Linked DNA regions of Danio rerio. The protein of the gene in region 2 purifies or fractionates together with the protein of the main gene of each other region. This does not show direct contact. Links are inferred from orthologs where the notes say so. Each region holds a gene or a part of one and is shown on either strand. Other genes may lie near its edges.

Region 1 (6,412 bases), on a different chromosome or scaffold from region 2:
CTGGAATGGATTTATTGCGAAACCTATGACGCTCCATTCACACGGGGCTTCAGCGTCAACGCTTGACTGAAGGCGTGTCTGAAGTTGGGGCTGAAGCGATCGTCATAGCAGCATCAGCCAATGAAATTCAGTCAGCAATAGGCCACTGTCTAGCTGGTGTATTTGCATACAGCGATCTGATTGGCTGACGCTTCCATCGGCGCTTGAAAAGCTGAGCTAGTTCCAACTTCTGCAGCGAGCAACGCCTCTGAAGCGGCGCCGACGGATCCACAATGCAGTTCAGCAACGCCTGACGTCACCCATTCAAAGTGAATGGGAAGCATTGACACTGACGCCCCGTGTGAATGGGGCGTCACAGTACACTGTAAAAAATGTCCCTGATTTCACTTTAAAACTGTAGAAACCCTACAGCACAGTACGTGTCCTTAATATATACTGTAAATAACTGTACATTGACTTTCGCAGAATTCTCTGCGAATTCTGTGCTTATTTTTAAGGTTTTCTTTCTTTGTTATATTACATATATTGTTAATAAATCAAGTTTATTGCATTACTTTAGTGTTATGTGTTGTTATGATGCTGTTTGGCAATTGTGTGATTGGCAATGAGCGTCTTCTATATTAGCATGCTTGTGGGAAACCTGTTAAATAAAAGCTTATCATATGACTTTCTCATCACCATATGGTTGTGTTTTTGTGTGTGTAATAAAGGATACGATGTGTGCTTTAAAACACTGGTCTATTAACACTTAATGATTAAAATACAATAGTTTACTGTAAAATATTTGACTTTCTTTGCGTTTTTAACTGTAACACACTGGAAACTACTCAATTTTTTTTAATAGTACAATTGTTGAATTTCACCCAATATTTTGGCAGTATAGTGTATGTTGGCCACATTATTTTTTACTCATGAGTTAAAAAAATGCACATATATAAAGACTGAGGAAATGTTTTTAATAATAAGAGGTGAATTAGCCGCGTGGTACTGGTATCGTTCGTTGTAACGATTGTTGTAATGGTTCTAATATCTAATGGCCATCCGCTTGTTTAGTCTGACGTCACGCGAAGCGGCTTCCGGGTCTAAGCGCTCTATTCAACTGACTCATAAAATAGTAATAATAAACGTTCACAAAGCGATTTAATACTTTCGAAGATCACGATCGCAACATATATGCCCATGCCTAATATGCGATGGCCAGAAAGTGATTCATTTTTTTTTATAAAATGTTAAATTTTTGGTATTTGTTATGCAGCAAGCCCAGAGATTGTTGTATACACTATGATTTTATATAAAATTAACTTTAATGTGTGATAGGAATAAAACGTGATCATAAACGAATGATTTCTTCACGCAAATGAATGGCGGCTTGGACTAGGAAACAGTATTACATGCGTCACAAACACGTCACCACTTAACAAGCGGATAAGGAGATCACATACGGAGGGGGGCGGGGCCCTCTTATCACATCCCGTTCGCTAGTAGTCACTGAGGCTGCGTCCGAAACCGCATACTTTCATACTATATAGTATGCTAAAATCAGTATGCGAGCCGAGTAGTATGTCCGAATTCATACAATTTGAAAATCAGTATGCGAGAAATACCCGGATGACTTACTACTTCTGGCGAGATTTTGTAGTGCACATCCTATGCACGCTGCGCTGTCCCATGATGCCCCGCGAGAGAATATATGAATGCAAGTGAAACGACGCAACTGACACAGGTAGGTCACGTGACCATGATAAAATGGCGGATGTAGTACATCCGAATTCCATTCATACTTTTCACATTCATACTGTATAGAACCCACTTTTCTAACGGCCGAGTAGTACATTTACAAATACATATTCGTTTAAATTCGGACGCAGCCTGAAAGTTTTGCACTTGAGCGCCTCCAAGTGCTGTTTACGGTAACTTCAGAAGCTCTGTGCACGTGAACAAAAGTGCCAATCTGATTGGTGGAGAAGGTTATGGCGCGGTGCGTCAAAACAAAAAAATTAGCATGAGGCGTTTCTTAAAAAATAAAGCTTTTACGTCTGCCGTTGGTGTGCACAACCACAATAGCACCGTTTATTTAGTCACGAGGTGGTAAACGTTGACGGAAAACGTGAGCGAAAAGCGTACCGCTGTGCACGGGCCTTAAAAGGGATTTTTGCATAATAGGTGCCCTTTAAAGTATCAAACATTACATATCTGCAAATGAAAAATGACTCTAAATATATATTTTAAGGCTGTAAAATAATGTATTTTTTAATTTTATTTATTTTTTTATGTTGTAACCCATTTTTTTTATCATTAAATGAATAAAATGCACACAACTGGAGGCTCGGAGTTTGACTTTACTTATAAATGTAAGTATTTCCTCATAGCTAGAAGATCGCTGGTTCTAGCCCCGGCTGGGTCAGTTGGTGTTTCTGTGTGGAGTTTGCATGTTCTCCCGGTGTTGGCGTGGGTTTCCTCTGGGTGCTTCGGTTTCCCTCACAGTCCAAACACATGCGCTATAGGGGAATTGAATAAGCTAAACTGGCTGTAGTGTATGAGTGTGTGCAAGAGTGTGTGGGTGTTTCCCAGTGTTGGGTTGCAGCTGGAAGGGCATCTGCTGCATAAAATATATGCTGGATAAATTGGTGGTTCATTCCGCTGTGGCGGCCCCTGATTCATGAAGGGACTAACCTGAATGAAAAATAATTGAATGAACGTTATGGACAAACAAGAATAAATATAAATGTTCGTGTTTTGTGGGTGTCAGTAGAGCACAAAAAGTGCGACCTTCACCTCGTCATGATGATGACTCAGAAGTGAATTAAAAAGGGAAGCATTTATGACCCCTACACACCCTTCAAAGTTGTCCCTAGGGCACAGGGATGAGCCTTTTCGAATGGAACGCAGTGAGGCAGGCTGTGCCGCAAAATATCGCACCTGTCGTAAAATCATCTGCGATCTCATATAAAACATTAATAATCTCAAAATGCAGTTCACTTACGTGATACAAAGCGTGTTAAATATTAACACAAAGCTTTCTAAATCAGTTTCGCACACTTAGGCATCTCAGAAATTGATTGACATTGCAAAAGAAGCACATTACAGTCTTCCTCCACAATTGAGAAAGGCTAAAACCATGCCGGCTTCCATTGAAGGGAGGGGCTATAGCGCGATAGAAGAGATACAGCAGCGGCCGGACGTTATTTATAATACTTATTAAATTACCAATTAATTATATATTTTTAACCTCTACTCCTACCCCAACTATAATCCCAAGCACCACATTAATGTAAAAACAGTAATTAAACCGATTATTATTCATCCTATTTAATAAATTACCCGTCAAATTGTACTTTACTAACACTTTCTTCAACACCAACCCTCATAATAGTGTAAAAATATGAACTATTATTGTAAAGTGTTACAAAAATCATGCTATATTGATGTAAGTTTCCGCGGCTGTATCCCATCTAGACTTTACCGCTGTTGTGGAGGGCGGGGCTTACAGCCAGTATAGAGCAATACAATTGGCCAATGCGATTGTCAATCTATTAAAAAGCGGCAGACGGGCAGAAGTAATGGCTGATTCAAAGTAAGAGCTCGTAAAATTGATAATACAGGCTTTTCCTTTTGTATATATACGAGACAATTATTATATCGCAACATGTAAGTGTCTGTTTAACGCGTGTGTAACTGTTCGTGCTCACATCAATCTCGGATTTACTTTGACTAGTGCACAGAGGCAGGCTGCATTGTATTGTGTGCTATACTATAATGGAGTGTCGTTTTGCATGCTAACGTTACATATTATAATAAATGTGTCGTTCTGTTTGTTATAAAGTATAACACAGTGTCGTTACACACTGTTTAGTATGCTATAATATGATGGAGTGTCATATTCTTAGTATCTGCGTTGTGTATGTGATGTTTTAAGCTGCTCGTGTGCTAGCTTAGCTCTTTTCACTCGGTTGTACGCTCTTTATTGTCGCCTCAGTGTCACAATGGCTCCCCAACGCAGTCAGGACAAAACACCGATCCAGCTCCTGCACGAATATGGCATTAAAATCAGCAGCGCGCCGAAATACGAGCTCATTCACGCGGACGGGGACGCGCATCAGCCTTCCTTCATGTTCAGCGTCACCATAGGAGAGGTCACATGCAAAGGTGACGTCATCTACACATCTCTTATTTATTAGAAATACTACTAAACGCATGTACTAATTACACAATGCACGACAGTCTTCTAATGCGCCGTTGTTTTGCTTGTGAAGGCCGAGGATCCACAAAAAAGGCCGCGAAGCATGAAGCTGCAGAAGCCGCCTTGAAGTTGCTGAAGCGAGACAGTCAGATAATGTAATGCACAGCACACACACACCCATACATGCATACAGCAGATGGGCTTATAAACTATTATAGATTGATTAAATGGGTTAAAACTAATCCAGATGTTCTGAATTTTTAATAGAGACCAGAGAGACAACAATGGTCTATCTCCTGAAGCCGGAGAAGCGTCCAATCCTGTGGGAATACTGCAGGTATCTAAGAACTACACACACACACACACACATGTAAATAATACTGGGTTTTACACAATGGATTTGTGTTTGAATAACATGAAGGAAATAAATTAACTTATTATTTAAAGTTAGTTATTAGTGGGCCCACAAGGAATCTGACCTTGGATAAAAATATTATGGTTTTACGGTATCACAGTGTTGTAATTACTCCTCTAAAATAAGTTATTTTTAAATGTCTGTGTAAAAAAACAAAAACTTGTTTCCTCTTTGAACACAGAATATTTTATTTTGTGAAAGATTTAAAATATTTTGGAGCAGTAAACATGTCAGGTTAAATAATTCAAAAGAGTCATAGACTTCTGGGGTCTGTTCTTCGTACGTGGATTACTCAGCTGGATTTGGATATTGATGATTTGACACGATCCAGGATCGTTTCGTTCTTCAAAGCTCATTCGAGAGTTGTTGTCATAGCAACAGTTCTGCTAGCTCAAACCTGATCAGGAGCAGGTTCAATTCATATAAACAGGATTAGATCGGCTCAGTTCAAGCAAAGAAAACACTGAAAGTATGTTCCGAATTCAGATATTTTCTTACAGTAGTGTGTGTGCGCGAGGTATTTTATCTGGACTTTTTTTTCTTTTCTTGTTTATTTTGGTGTTTTTTTTTTCAACAGAATCACCATGCTAATTCGCAACCCTTGCATTCAGTATGTGTTTGTCATCTAATCTGCTCACTCTTTCAGGAGCTGGCCATGCAGAGAGTGTGGTGTCTGCCCGAGTATGTTGTGTTTATGGAGACTGGGCCGGGACACATGAAGGAGTTCACCATCGCCTGCCGTCTGGAGGGACTGGAGGAAACAGGTGACGTCTGGGGCTGTACATACAATACAGTGGGGGAAATATGTATTGAACAAATCACTGTTTTTCTCAGAAAACACATTTCTAAATGTGCTGTTGACTTGAAATGTTCCCCAGATGTTGGTAGCAACCAAAGAAATCCATATATGCAAAGAAAACAAAACTGATTCGTTTAGAATTGAAGTTCTGTGTAATAAAATAAAATGACGCAGGGGAGGAGTATTGAACACATGAAAAAAGGGAGGTGTAGTTCGGCAGTGAAAGCCCAGACAGCAGCTGAAATCTCTCAGTGGTTCTTCAGCAAGCCTCTGCCCTTCCTCAATGTAAATGAACATCAGCTGCTTCAGTCCAACATCTGCATCAGCAGGAGGATGAAGATGAACCCAGGGTGGACATTTCAGCAAGATAATGATCCCAAAACACAGCCAAGGAGACTCTCAGATGCTTTCAGAGAAAGAGAATCAAGCTGCAGAATGGCCCAACCAATCCCCTGATCTGAATCCAATAGAGAATACAAAATAAAGCTCAGATTTTGCAGACGAGACCCACAGAACCATCAAGATTTTGATACTTTACAAAAGATCTCAGTTATTAGTAATGAGATATAAAATCTATTATGTTTAGAAATGTGTTGTGGGGGGTTGGGTCTGAGGTAAACAGAAATTGGGGAATAAAATAAACAGGGGGCTAATAGTTCAGGAGGGCTAATAATTCTGACTTCAACTGTATATTGCCAACTGCTGTTATTCATGTGCAGATATCGTGCTGATTTCTCCACTGATGCTTTATTATCTGCTTTTTTTTTGGCTCATCAGGATCCGGCAGCTCCAAAAAGCTGGCCAGACGAGCAGCTGCTGAAAACATGATCGCCAAACTGCAGAGTTTGTCAGGATCTTCTGAGATCACGTGGGTTAGTAATTCATCAGCAGTTATTTTATTTATGAAGACTTCTGGATTGATTTATGAAAGCATGTTGGATTAAAGTGGTGTTTGGGACCCCTGGAGGAGGGGGTTGCTTGGTGATTAATCCCAAAATTTTGTAAACAATTAGAAATT
Region 2 (7,200 bases):
TAGATTAAATTTAAAATACTGTTTTAATCAATTATGGCCTTCATTTTTTATTTTTTTTATGTAGACTGATTATACTAATAAAAGTCTATAAAGGAGGTGCGTGCATTTTACCACAGGGTTGCATTTCTCTCCACAACACCAGAACTGCAGTCAGATCATGAAGCAGATCAATGTTAATTTTTCTTTCGAGACGTCAGTGCAGAAATGAACAAAACAATAGGCCTAATACAAAATATTATAAGATTAAAATATGGATTATAAGAAGGTAATTTCGCACATTTTCCTAACTGATAAACAGCACTCGATAATATTTAAGCATGCTTTCACTGTCGTATTCCACATAAAACGCACATTTATCATTCCACCGTACTCATAATTCTCTCTTCATATGGCTGTTACTCAACAATAATACACTGTGATATAGCCTGGTTTGTCAGTTTGTTGGATCATTTTGTTTTCCCACTACAATCGATCCGCTCCAGTTCGTTTTAACTTACTGGGCAAAACAAACGTCTGGGCGTGAAAGCACCCTGTATTTGCATGCAATTGACAAACAGTCGCAACCAAATTAAACTTTAGTGACACGGCAGCACTAAACCATACTGCTAACTGTCTCGAGTGTCTCGCACACTGGCCCCAGGCCATCGGGCAGTCCTTAATTTCGAGCTCTGAACTCACTGACTGCAGTGATGTATACTAGGCATATACCATCAAAGTCTTTAGCCCCTTTCACACATTCAGACTTTTCCGGAAAATTACCGGCTTTTTGAAAATACCGGTAAATTCGTTCTGGCTATTTTCCGGAAAGAGAAGTTGTAACATTACCGGTAATTTGCCGGAATGCTGCGCTGTGTGAATGCAGAAGGAAGATTGCCGGAAAGAGCGCGTGCATGTCTAGAACATGCTGACGTGAGACACCTGCTTTAGCCAATCAGAACAGTCAGACGCATTCACGTGCGCGATTTATGAGAATAAGAGCCTTTGAATATTTTTCCAGACACCTTTAGCTCCTAGATGTTAGTCAGATAACGTTTCTATGTTCCTTCTTAATGCTAACTGTGTAAATAATTATCGATAAAATGTTTATAGTAATTCGTTGTTTGTTTACCTTCAAGCTTTGCGTGTGCCTGTGAGCCCCCATAGCGCCAGCACACACACATATCATGAACATCTCGACATGCGAAAGTGTTCCTCTATATGTTTTCATTGGAGTTGTACTCAATACTGATCCATCCAAAGAGTTTTAATGTAGTCAAATGTTTACAAACACAAGCGCAGCCGTTTAGAGGTCATTTCTGGTTAATGATGTCAGAATTTACCGGTATTTTGGAATGGATGTGTGAATGCTCTTTTCCTCGCCTGTGTGAACAGCGCTTTTTTGAATTTACCGGTAAAGTCGTTCCGGAAATTTTCCGGATATTTACCGGTATCACTGTGTGAAAGGGGTTATTGGCTGACAGTTTCCAACTTTCTTCTGAATATCAGCTTTTGTGTTCAACAAGAAAATTAATTCCAATATGATGACAGCATTTTCATTCTTGGGAGATCAATCCTTATTAGTTTTGAAGATGATAAATATCATGATCTTTTTTCCCTCCCTCAGATCCCTCATTTCCCTGTGTACACTCGTTCTGGTGAGGTGACCATCTCCATTGAGCTGCAGAAGTCGGGCTTTAGTCTAAGTGCGGAGCAGCTGGAGCTGATCACACGTCTGCATCAGTACATCTTCTCCCACATCCTCCGTCTGGAAAAGCCAGCACTAGAGTTTAAGCCTGTAGAGGCAGATTCTGCCTACTGTGTTCTACCTCTCAACATCGGTGAGTGTCGCAGTCTTGTCTGAGATTAAAGTTAATCATTAGTTTATTATATTTTTAGTTTTTTTAGGATTATTTAGACCTGCAACAAATCTGTCAAATATTTGTTTTATTATTTGGACAAAAAGCCAGTGTTTTTGTTCTGTCATTTATTGAGCAAGCATGTGCGTTCCAGATCTTATCCATTTTTCCATTTAAAATGTCAGATGCTCTTCATTTAGCAATAGAGACTAATTAATATTACAAAACATCTGTTTATTTTTATTTGTTTCATTATTTATTGCAGCTAGTGATGGCAATATTGGGACTTTTATTTTGAGAGCTGATTATTTTTAGCTATTGTATTCAAATAAACTATATTTTAATACTTATAATCAGGGTATCCACGGGGTCGTAAAGTTTTAAAATGTCTTAAATCTCAAAAGCAAAATTTTAGGCCTTAAAGTCTTAAATTCACTGAAATATTGTGTTGTAGGTCTTCAATCTTTTTTTTTTAACAGGTCTTAATTTTCCTTTGTTCAATGTTCAAGAGTCCATCCAATAAAATATCTTTACAGTAACATTTGTTTAATAATCCTCTATTTATTTACTGCTGAGGATACTGACCTGACCTATATTTTTGTATTATTAAGTTATTAATATTATTGACTGAAGTAGTTGACAGATTTGTTTTGTTCTTTTCTTGGTAAGGGTTATCGAGTTTGTGAATGGATATATTTGAAAATTGTTGTAAAAAAATTTCAAACTAAATTATAGAAAATCTTCTCTAACTGGGATATTGAAAAAAACCCTTAGCATTTAGCCCTGTATAAGTCTAATTAGTCATAATTTTTGTTGTTATTTTTTTTTTATTAACAGATTTGTTAATATTATTTGTTATTAACAGATCATTTTGTCTGACTTTAAAGTGGCACACAAGGGTTAAAATATTTTTTAAATAATATAGTTTTAGCCCTCCTTTTAATTTTTTTCATTTTCAAATATTTGCCAAATGATGGAAATTAGCCATAGCAAGGACATTGTCACAGTATGTCTGATAATATTTTTTTTCTTCTGGAGAAAGTCTTATTTGTTTTATTTCAGCTAGAATAAAAGCAGTTTTTAATTTTTCTAATACCATTTTAAGGTCAAAATTGTTGTCCCCTTTAAGCAAATTTTATTTGATAGTCCACAGAACAAACTATCGTTATACAATAGCTTACCTAATTACCCTTAACTGCCTAGTTAACCTAATTAACCTAGTTAAGCCTTTAAATGTCATTTAAGCTGTATAGAAGTGTCTTGAAAAATATATAGTAAAATATTATGTTCTGTCATCATGGCAAAGATAAAATAAATTAATTATTAGAGATGAGTTATTAAAACTATTATGTTTATAATGTGTTGAAAAAAATCTTCTCTCCTTTAAATAGAAATTGGGGAAAAAAAATAAACGGGGTGGCAAATAATTCAGGGGGGCTAATAATTCTGATTTCAACTGTATATCAGCCATCGGCTACCCCTACTTCGCAATACACTGGCTGTATAAGCTGTATTCAAGCATTTGTTTCAGTGATATTCCAATTTTTTTTATAACTGGTGTTCTTTTCAGTTGAGGATTCCAATACTTTGGATCTGGATTTCAAGTTCATGGAGGATATTGAAAAGTCTGAAGCACGCATTGGCATTCCAAACACTCAGTACACCAAGCAAAACCCATTCATCTTCAAATTGGAGGACTACCAGGATGCTGTCATCATTCCAAGGTACAAAACATACTCGAGTCTTATTGCTGTTGTAATTAAGCAGTCATTGATGATTTATACTGTGCTTTTGTTTTCGCTCAAGTTGAACCATGGCCTCCTTTCTCATTTTCCTCCTCTCAGGTATCGTAATTTTGACCAGCCGCATCGGTTCTACGTGGCTGACGTTTACACAGACCTCACCCCGCTCAGTAAATTCCCCTCTCCAGAGTACGAGACTTTTGCCGAATACTATAAAACCAAGTACAACCTGGACCTGTCAAATGTTAATCAGCCCCTACTGGATGTGGACCACACATCTTCAAGGTAGGAAGGAAAAATTAAAAAATACTTCATGGTATGTGTTTTTCTTTTTTTATAAACCCCCAAAAATTCATTACATGTCCATGGTGGTCTTTTCCTGTAGATTGAATCTTTTAACTCCCCGGCACCTTAATCAAAAGGGGAAAGCCCTTCCTCTCAGCAGTGCGGAGAAGAGAAAGGCCAAGTGGGAAAGCCTACAAAACAAACAGGTATTAACTGTCGGAAAGAATTTGCGGTGATAATTATGAGCCATCATACCTGAATTAAGTGTAATCACGCTGAATAAATGAGTGCTTCCTCCCAGTGAGAGTGGTAATGGTCGAACAAAGGTTTGATTCATATCAGATAACTTTTTTTGGTTTGTATTTTTGGTCTATCTTCTTAGATTTTAGTTCCGGAGCTCTGTGCCATTCACCCCATCCCAGCCTCTTTGTGGAGGAAAGCCGTCTGCCTTCCCAGCATTCTCTACAGACTTCACTGCCTTCTGACGGCCGAAGAGCTGCGGTCTCAGACAGCCATCGATGCTGGCGTAGGGGCTCAGACCTTGCCTCCTGATTTCAGGTCAATTAAAAAAAACATTACACTTATTCCTGCTTCCAAACCCTAGTATACTTGTGGCCTGTTTCCACTGAGTGGTACAGTACGGTACAGTATGGGTCACCTTCATCAGGCTTGCATTCCCACTGCCTAAAGGGTATTTAAAAATGGCGCTTTTTTTGTGTTTATTATCCTGCTTGTATATGCACTAGTGACATTTCTCTGTAAACCAATAGCATTCAGCTCCGCCTTTTGGTACCCTTTTGTTGTGCTAGGTACCCTTTTAAAAGGGTACCCAAAAAGTGGTACGGTACGGTTCACTTTATGGTACTTTTTGACAGTGGAATTTAGTTTGATTGAGTAACTATTATAGTTTTTATAAAGTGTTGTTTATATTATGAAATGGGAGATTTTAATGATTTTGCTGGAGAAGAGCAACGGTTGTGCTTTGTAAATATTTTCATTCGCAAAACAGAACAAATGATAAATGAAAAGATGATCACTTTCAGTGTTGCAGCTAACATGTAATTTTATATAGTTCTTTTTGTTTATTGATAAAATCTCTTTTAATGTTTGTGCCGACACTAGGCATGGGCGGTTGTAAGACTTTGACAGTATGATAACCTTGGATAAAAATATCACCGTGTGATTACTGCTCCAAATTAGGTTCCTTTTAAATGTCTGGGTAAAAAGCAACATTTAAAATATTTTGGATCAGTAGCTTAGTAGAGTTTTTTTTTTTGCTGGAGACACTGTTTTCCTTAGGAACGATATAACAGAATAATTGTTCAATTTAACAACATAAAAACGGTGGACCAATTAGAGCGGTTTTGAGACCAACTGCAACTTGACATAGGAGTGCAGTCCCCCCGCCCACCTAATTGATTGACAGTTGCGTATAAACTTGTCTTCGTAGTGCAGTATAATTAAATCAACTAGACAGGATGTGCGTAAAGCAACCGGGAATAAAAGGTCTGTCCAGTTTGCTTGGATCATCAATCATCATCAAATGTGATCAAGAGTGAGTTTTACAAGTTTAAAATGTTTTCAAACAGTGCATGTGTGTAATGAATTACAGCGATTCACTTCAGATTCACTTCATCAGCACACCCACGTATCTGAACAATTATAAAAGAAGAGGCTTCAATCGTGGTTTGTGGACGTTAAATCAGGTTTATTTTGTACATTAACATAACAGATGTCCATACAGCAGTGGAGATTAAACTGCGTCCTGTCAAATTTGTGTGCAAAAACAGTGCAAAGCTAAATGCGCGCGCTGTGTGTGTGTGTGTGTGTGTGTGTGTGTGCGTGTGTGAACTTTGTAACGACATTGTGTGTGTCTCATCGTTGCAACTCAACAACAGATGCATCGAATACTCGTTGATAAAGTTCTGACTTATTTCTCACAAATGTTACGTGAGATCTTCTTCATCTCTCTTGTCTGTTGTCTGAGGCAGCCAAGGGCGGAGACTGAGGCACGCTGACAGGCATGTGGCAATGGTAGGCGGAAAGACTAGCCTTAAAGGCCCATTACATAAAAACAGCAGCAAGCTGTTTAGAGCTATAAAAATACAAACTACTGAAAGCTATTATAAATAATCTGATGTGGGTTTGGAGCTGAAACTTCACAGATTCTTTTTTAATTCCGGAAAAAGGGGTAACCTAGGTGCCCTTTAAATACATTTTCATTTAGTCATTTAGCAGATGCTTTTGTTCAAATCGACCTTTCAATTCAGCGATTCAACAAAAAGAGGCAATACACACAAGAAGTGCTAATTATACAAAGCAAGAAGTTTGTGCTCAGAAAATTTAGGCAGGGTTTTGTTTTTTGTTTTTTCACACTTATAAATGCACAATGTTTTTTTGTGCAATGTTGTTTTTTTGTTGTTGTTGTTATGGAATGATTGTAAAAATGTGTCTGGTGCAAATGAGCAAAAACTGGTTCAAATGTTGGTTAAAGTGTCAGAGAGATGGTAGTAGGGATTCTCCGATGATATCTCGCCTTACCTAAAATAATCAAATTGGGATGTAGCATTCATGTAATGGACAGAAGCAGCTTTACGGAAAAAATTAAATAAATAAAACAGACAAAAATGGTAAGAAAATGAATAACAGTGCAATTTGGAAACATTGCTCATGTGTTGTTGCGCTGCCAATGCATAACCCGGGCGTGCACGTGCATCTTTCTCTGCTTGTAAACTCACAAACAAACACTTGCGATCGGTTCATGGGATCGGCCAGATTAACAAGTATCGATCGAGTCATGAAATGTACTGATCTCCAGCCGATTAATCGGAGCATTCCTAGATGAAAGTGTGTTTTCTACAGGTAGTTTGTTAAGCCTGTCACCTGTTCGAGGCACACTCAGAATTTGTAATATTTAAGGCTTGGTTGGTGTGTGGTGAGGTGCGTGAGAGAAGAGGGGTTCAGGTGATCTCAGAATAGATGGGATTTTAGTTGTCGTTTGAATGATGTCTGTGTGGATTGCAGATAACACCTACATGTAACATCTACAGAAAGTCAGGTGTTGGATTCAATTTCAAGTTACTATAAATGATTAAGAGTTACTGCCTTTAAAATGTTACTGTTCAGTCAAAGTGCTAAGTATAATAATCTCATTCAATGTTGACCCCAGGTATCCTAATTTGGATTTCGGATGGAAGAAATCCATCGACAGCAAGTCTTTCATCTCCTGCCCCAGTGCATGTATGGAAGAAGACGACGATCACTGTAAACTCGGCACAAGCTCCGATTCAAACCACACTGCCCCCGAGAGCTGCAGTATGGAGGTCTCCCAGCCTCCA

Evidence for each region. Proteins that work in one complex are often made in the same cells at the same time.
Region 1: the proteins of dicer1 (region 2) and prkra purify together in Homo sapiens (co-immunoprecipitation; 4 studies listed by BioGRID and IntAct, with this or other methods). This does not show direct contact. The link is inferred for Danio rerio from reciprocal best matches to the Homo sapiens genes DICER1 and PRKRA.

What each region holds. Positions count from the first base shown.
Region 1 is NC_133184.1:1,352,853-1,359,264, forward strand, and holds the start of prkra (interferon-inducible double-stranded RNA-dependent protein kinase activator A homolog), read left to right. Parts: upstream 1-3,524; 5' UTR 3,525-3,560; coding exon 3,561-3,574; exon of another isoform or gene 3,575-3,648; intron 3,649-3,976; coding exon 3,977-4,146; intron 4,147-4,253; coding exon 4,254-4,335; intron 4,336-4,447; coding exon 4,448-4,517; intron 4,518-5,241; coding exon 5,242-5,359; intron 5,360-6,171; coding exon 6,172-6,266; intron 6,267-6,412. UniProt on the Homo sapiens protein: Activates EIF2AK2/PKR in the absence of double-stranded RNA (dsRNA), leading to phosphorylation of EIF2S1/EFI2-alpha and inhibition of translation and induction of apoptosis.
Region 2 is NC_133192.1:20,720,545-20,727,744, reverse strand, and holds part of dicer1 (endoribonuclease Dicer), read left to right. Parts: intron 1-1,603; coding exon 1,604-1,817; intron 1,818-3,405; coding exon 3,406-3,559; intron 3,560-3,679; coding exon 3,680-3,862; intron 3,863-3,962; coding exon 3,963-4,068; intron 4,069-4,244; coding exon 4,245-4,420; intron 4,421-7,031; coding exon 7,032-7,200. UniProt on the Homo sapiens protein: Double-stranded RNA (dsRNA) endoribonuclease playing a central role in short dsRNA-mediated post-transcriptional gene silencing.